2 linked regions of the Macaca mulatta genome follow. The protein of the gene in region 1 interacts with the protein of each later gene in a pairwise test. Links are inferred from orthologs where the notes say so. Each region holds a gene or a part of one and is shown on either strand. Other genes may lie near its edges.

The links.
Region 2: the proteins of METTL21A (region 1) and FAM200C interact in binary tests that used the Homo sapiens proteins (3 or more experiments, as listed by UniProt). The two-hybrid records come from large-scale screens. The link is inferred for Macaca mulatta from reciprocal best matches to the Homo sapiens genes METTL21A and FAM200C.

Annotation. Positions count from the first base shown.
Region 1 is NC_133417.1:112,878,144-112,881,122, forward strand, and holds the end of METTL21A (protein N-lysine methyltransferase METTL21A), read right to left. Parts: intron 2,538-2,979; coding exon 2,140-2,537; 3' UTR 691-2,139; downstream 1-690. UniProt on the Homo sapiens protein: Protein-lysine methyltransferase that selectively trimethylates residues in heat shock protein 70 (HSP70) family members. Contributes to the in vivo trimethylation of Lys residues in HSPA1 and HSPA8.
Region 2 is NC_133411.1:169,254,885-169,259,232, forward strand, and holds the start of FAM200C (protein FAM200C), read right to left. Parts: upstream 3,088-4,348; 5' UTR 2,677-3,087; intron 1-2,676.

The sequences.
Region 1 (2,979 bases):
CACCCTAATCTCAATCTTTGAGTCTATTTCCCCAAGGAACCTGACCTGCAACAACATTCTAAGCCCCAAGCCAAGAAAATCACTTGATTTTTCACTTGGACAACCTAACTATTTCTGATGATTTTTGTTTTTTCTTGCCTGTGCTTCTAATTTGTAGGTCAAAGGAAAAAAGCTGCTTTCAAATTTTTCTGATTCTTAATGTTTTATGAAAATGGAAAACAACCCAATAATAGCTTACCTCATTTGGTAGATCACCCAGGCATATTATTGAAGCTCCCACCTCTAACCCACCCTGCCCCATCCATGTTAACACCCATCTCCAAAGTTATGGATCTTAAAGAAACTGAACTCTAACTAATATATGCATTTCCGATAACATACCTAAGTGGAACTGGCTTGTCATTATAGTGTTGGTGATACTGCCAGGCTTTGTTTTAAACAATCTTTCATATTCATGGTGCAGCACTGACATTTTATGGATTCAGTAAGCAATGGGTATTTCCATTTCATGTGTATTAGAATTGTGTTGAACTAGTATATCACAGAATGCTCACAACTTTTAATCCATCTTTATTAAAGTGAAACTGCTATTTCAATATATGTAGAAAACAACATACTGAATATTTTCACCTCTGGGATCAAAAGGAAGAGAACGTCCTGTTTTTAAGATTTTATAAAAGAAATCTATCTCTAGTACCAAATACCATATTGAGATTATAATATTCTTGCAGTCTAAAGTTAAGCTATTGTTTAAACGTTTGCATTGTAAAAAGAAAAGTTCGTGTGTATGTGAGATGTCAAAGTGTATCAAAGATAATCATCAAACAGTATAACAATCATTTAACCCAAAGTCAATGTCCTTTAAATGGAATATATCTTTTTCATTATTTGGTTATGAAATATACAGAAGGTACTCGGGAAGCAACAATGGAAGAGGCAGAAGCATTCTTGGCCCTCAAGAAGCTTACACTCTATGGGGCAATACTAATGTTGAATGAGCAATTACAAGTACAATACAAAAGGAGCTTATATGTGGGAAGCTAACATCTCAGGGAGGGATGAGATTTAAAACTTCTAATGTCATCCTATGCATTGTTAAGGAAGCAAGGAAAGCTCGGGAAAGAACTGCATTAAGACATTTGAGCAAGGGTAAAGCAGAAGGGGAAAACCTCAGCTTTTGACTTGAAATAGACAACATATTCAAGATTTCAGGTGCTTTTTTTTTTTTTTTTTTTGAGACGGAGTCTTGCTCTTGTCCCCAATCTCAGCTCACTGCAACCTCTGCCTCCCAGGTTCAAGTGATTCTCCTGCCTCAGCCTCCCAAGTAGCTGGGATTACAGGCGCCTGCCACCACGCCCGGCTAATTTTTGTATTTTTAGTAGAGATGGGGTTTCACCATGTTGGCCAGGCTGTTTTTGAACTCCTGACCTCAGGTGATCTGCCCGCCTCAGCCTCCCAAATTGGTGGGATTTCAGGCATGAGCCACCGCACCCAGCCAGATTTCAGGTGCTTTCAAAAAGTAACTGAAATTTCATTTTTATTTAATTCCTTTATTAACATATATAAACCTGAAATTAAGGCAAAAAGTATGATATGAGACTCAAAAAAACTCATATCCTACTCAACCAACTAAAAGTTTTTAGGATCTAAACAGGGCAAAAGGTTTCAATAGCACTAACAGCTCAAGGAATGTATGTTAAACCTTTTGTTTTACATCCAGAAAATTAGAAAACTTGGCTAAACATTGTATATATCAGAAGGTTTTAAAAATAATTTGTTAAGATTTAATCTTACCAAAGAAAGCTTGCTCATTTAAAGACATCTTTATACCAGCCTTCATGTCATCAGTGGAAACTTTATTAAGAGGGAATAGTATGAGATACAGAAATAGCATAAACCAAAATCTCACACTTAATCCTTTAATGTTAATTGGATTTCAGTGTGAGTAAATATGACTAAAACTCATAGCAATGGGACAAAGCACTGCTTTGTTTTAAAACTGCACATGTGCTTTCTCCCCTGAGAACCTTTGCTTTAGACTTTTTGTACAGTAAGACATTTCATTAAATATGTTTAGATTTGCAGTCTAAGACCTTAAGTGGCACACTCAATGACAGCATTCTTATAAATTATAGCCAATTATAAGTCCTCCTTCTGGTTTCTCTTCTGTGCTTCGTAAATATGTACATCTTTTTCAGGATCATAGTGAACCTTTCTCACAGTAAACTGCCTCTCCAGCATTGCTAAGAAGTTGTTATCCCGTTCATAGCGAATTCGGCATGCTAAAAGAATCACGGAGTGATTGCTACAGAGATGTTCCAGTGTTTGAAGAAGATCTGTGAATGTTTCTTCTAAATATATGATATCAGCTCCAAGTATCAGGTCAAATTCTCCAGGAGAAAAACTCCCCAAATTCTGTCCCCAAGTCAGCTCCTTAACAACAGTTTTGGGTTGGATATGAGGAGGTAAGTTGGCTTGAACGTTTGATTTAAGAAATTCTAATGCTACTTTTCGATCCGTGATAGTCACATGAGCACCTACAATGTGGGACAAAGAAAAAGTGATGTGCACATCAGTACAGCTCTGTTAGGTAGAGAGGGGGTCAAGTTAAATGTAGAGTGTCTCTTAAATATTGCATCTGATACGCAGAATATCAATCATGCCTTTCATGGACAGCTGCAATAGAAAAATGACTCATAACTCCTTTTGCACTAACTACTGGCAAAAGTGACTCTGGATTTCCCTCTATGACATACCTGCTATTTGCTAAAATTGTGCCCATAAATTGCAGAATTGGCTGGGTGCGGTGGCTCATGCCTTTAATCCCAGCACTTTGGGAGGCCAAGGCGGGCAGATCTCCTGAGGTCAGGAGTTGGAGATCAGCCTGGCCAACATGGCCAACTAAAAATACAAAACTAGCCAGGCATGGTGGCGGGTACCTGTAATCCCAGCTATTCGGGAGGCTGAGGCAGGGGAATC
Region 2 (4,348 bases), on another chromosome or scaffold:
ATCTATATTCTAAATAAGTATTTTAGGTAATTCTTATAAATAGTAACTAGAACAGTGATCTGTGACAAGAGATACCATATCATCACAATCACTGGGAAACTCTTTGAAACTATACATGTCCCTGCACTACCTTAGAACTAATACATCATCTTCTCCAGAAGCAGAACAAAAGAATATGGGGAAATAATGTTGTTCAGGCAATCCTGAAACACATCCTGGTTAGGTAGTCAGATTTAGGGGAATGAAAACATATCCTTCAAACCAATCCTTAGCTAACAAATATTCTAGGTGTCTAAGTGAATGGTCCCAATGCTTGAATAGATATTTAAATTTTCTACGTTTTCTGAGCTGATGACATCCTCCTATGAAAGTTGAAACCTAAAATGAAAACCATGTCTTTTCTCTTTCTGTCTCTTTAGCAATGAGTAAAGGCATAATCCACAGGTAGGCTCAAATAGACCTTAGAAAACATTCTATCTCCAAGATAAATAAGTGATCCCCAAAGTTTCCGAAGTTCTGTGCCAGAGAATGTGGCTGAAATAAAGTAACAGGTATACATTTAAATCCGAATGCCCACTTTGGCCATTAAAAGAAAAATCACAAGCCAAGAATATCTACTTAAAGCATTAGCTTTCAAGTGGATCTACCAAGATGAACTAGTTGTAAAGTGTACTCCAATAAAATAAGTTGATCTGTTACACGGTTGTTATGAGCCTGTTAAACTGGAGGATATCTGCCAATCAAAAAAGGCAACCCGAAGTTTAAAGAGCTGATCTTAAGCCTTCATTTGTCAAGTAATGAGACTACATGACTACTTTTGCTTAGAACCACTTCTAATTAATGACAATAAAATTATGACATTACCATAAAATGCTTATTTTTCTGTATTCTATTAATGTATATTTATCATGTAATATTTGGGGAGGCAGAGGGAATAGAGGAAAATGTTTTTAGTCACATTAGAAATCTTTACAAGAGGGGCCTGGTGTGGTGACTCGTGCCTGTAATCTCAGCACTTTGGGAGGCCAAGGTGGGTGGATCACTTGAGGTCAGGAGTTCCAGACCAGCCTGGCCAACATAGTGAAACTCTGTCTCTAATAAAAATACAAAAATTAGCTGGGTGTGGTGGCGCATGCCTGTAATCCCAGCTACTTGGGAGGCTGAGGCAGGAGAATCGCTTGAACCCAGGGGGCAGAGGTTGCAGTGAGCTGAGATCACGCCACTGCACTCCAGCCTAAGGACAGCCAGACTCTGTCTCAAAAAAAAGGCTGGGCATGGTGGCTCATGTCCATAATTCCAGCACTTTGGGAGGCTGAGGAGGGCGGGTCACCTGATCTCAGGAGTTCAAGACTGGCCTGGCCAACTTGGTGAAAACTCGTCTACTAAAAATACAAAAATTAGCTGTGCATGGTGGTGGGTGCCTGTACTCCCAGCTACTGGAGAGGCTGACGCAGGAGAATCGCTTGATCTGGGAGGCAGAGGTTGCAGTGTGCTGAGATGACGCCACCGCACTCTCCAGACTGGGTGAGAGTGAGACTGTCTCAAAAACAAAACAGAACAAACCAGAAATCATTACAAGATCTGTTAAGAGGCCATTTCCTATCCACCTTGACTATGTCTCTCAAGTATATTTTAATTTAAAATTTATCTGTTTTGAACAAAAGTTTTAGGAAAATCAATTTATGGTATTCTTCTCCATCCCCCTGAAAAAGGGAGAATAAGTGGCAAGAATTTTCCAGAGCCTCAAAGATGAACTTACTGCCCAAGAGGCTTGTTTTAGAATCTCACAATTTGTACTTGCGCTTTTTGTGGTATTTAGGAATTACAATATCCTAAAAAATGTAAACATTAAAAAGCATCATCATCATAATGAGATATTGTTAAACAGGCATGATAATGGTATTGTGGTTGTGTTTTTAAAAAGTCCTCATGTGTTCGACACGATTACTTACAAGTGAAATAAGATGTCTGGGATTCCTTTGAAATACTATACTTCAGCACACTCACAAACATGCACAAAGCGGGGTGGAGATAAAAGAAATGACTGGCCTTAAGTTGGTAACTCTTGAAGCTGGATGATGGGTACACATCATTACACCATTCGATTTTTATGTATTTCGGAAACTTTCCATAATAAAAAAAGCATTATCTTAAGATAGATAGATATCACTCATTTTAAGAATGATTCTTTTGAGAGATTATCTTCAGAGGCTTAATGAAAGATCTGATATCACAAAGTAAAATGTTTTGGCAAGTTTATGAAGGGTAGATATGAAAAAGTATTACAATTGAGAAAAATCAGTTAAAAGTGAACACTCACAAAACATTTAGGGAATGCTAATACACACACACACACACACACACACATATATATATATTCATTCCAGCAGTGAAAACACCAAAGTGCAGTTGTAAACCTGAAACTCCAAACCAAATACAATTCAACTTCTATCCAGCCACTGAGTATGCAAGATCATGGTAGGCGCAGGTGTTTGGGGAGGCAGAGCATTTAAGCATTACATTTTGCAGTTAAAATTAATAGCCAGGAGAAAGGGGGCAGGAACTTGGTGGCTGGGCAGACGCTCCAGGGGCAAACGCCTGGGATCGTGGCTTTGTCACTTACAGGCTGGGACCTTTCCAAGCTTCAGTTCCTCCAGAGGGGATAACAGTACCTACCTTACGGGGTTGTTGGGAGGTTTAATTATAAGAATGCATGCAAATAACAAGCAGCTCTTAATTGATAGGACCTGATGGTGTTACTGTTAAGGACGGAGATTTTTACACCCTCCAGGGTGAGATAGGAACGCCAGCGGCTAGGAAAAAAAAAAAAGAAAAAGACTCAGTGCTGTCTCCGCCCGCCCGTCTCCGAGCCTGAGGCGCAGGCCCATGGGATGCTCGGGCTTCTTTTAGGCGCCTGTTTCAGGCTCCAGTTCCGCTCTCCGCTCAGCCTAGGGTCCAGCCTCTGGCCGTCAGAACCAGTAGAGACGGCGATTCCTCAGGTCTGACCCCCCAGCAGGAATCTGCGGTGCGCCTGCAGAGACGAGCATCCGCAACAACCTCCGCCTCAGCCAGGCCCGAGTTCCATCCGGGTTCTCCAGGGTGCTTCCCGCCCGTAAACTGGGCGAGGCGTCTCCCACACGCAGGCGCAGTAGCAAAGGGCTGTGGGATGGGCTGGCGGGCTTGAGTACTGAGCATGCGCGCTGGCCCTCCCCCTTTCTTTGAGGTTGTGTACGTGGAACACAAAATCGTTTGTTTATTGTGTCTGCCAGAGAGGATGAACCGTACAATTTCAGGAATGGAAGGGGCTACAAACTACACATAGTTCTTTTTAACATGCAGAGCACTGAAACTTTTATATTGTGTTGGGCTTTGAGCTTGGAGATGATAAAACGCTTGATAATTACCATGTTCCATGTGGAATAAATGAGAGAAAAAGAGAAGGAAGCTCATTGTAATCTCAGATTAGACATTTCAGCAGTGGAGGATGAGCTTCCATAGCTTGTGTACTGTTGTCCATGCAGGGTGATCCCCCCGCCTTTCCTTAAGTGGGAACATGGGGATGAATTTCCTTATCATCATCCATCTCAGAGGAAAGATTTTTATTTAAAATTCTTTCAACAACATGATTTCAAAGAAATAAACCCATATTAGAGAGGTTTTAGGGAAAAATCCCAAGTAGAGACTAGGAAACGTTGTTGAAAGAAGTAAACCGGAATATAGCCCTTTCCTGTTTGGGGGTCTTTCCAGAATTCTTATAAACTTAAATGAGTTTACTCATTTTTGTACAATATTGTTAGAAGCATTCTATAAGGCTAGTGTGTGTGAGGAGTGGTGGGGCGTCAAAGAACGTGGGCCAGATACATCATTTTCAGGTGCTGAGGGTGAGCCTGGTAAATATTGAGGGGCTGCATAAGTTTTTGTGGATGCAAGAAACTGCTATAAGACCAGCCTTGTTGGTCAAGAAACTAGGGCCTTAAATACTAGAGAAGGGGATAGGCTTCAGAATCCGAGACAGCTAGCTTCATGTCCTGACTCCAATACTTACAACGGTTAGGATTTGTGCAGATTACTTGGAGTTAATTCCATGTGCTTTTTGTAAAATTGATAGATCATCCATTACCCCATGAAGTTCTTTTGAGGAAGGAGGTAACATTATGACAATTACAGTACATAATTCTCGAAAAGGCAGCTATAATTGAGATAATAAAATCAAAGCTCAATCTGAATAATGTCCTAGGCATTACGATTTTGAGACAGGGTCTCATTCTGTTGCCCAGGCTGGAGTGCAGTGGTGCAATCTCTGCTCACTGCAACCTCCACCTCCCGGGTTCAAGCAATTCTCATGCCT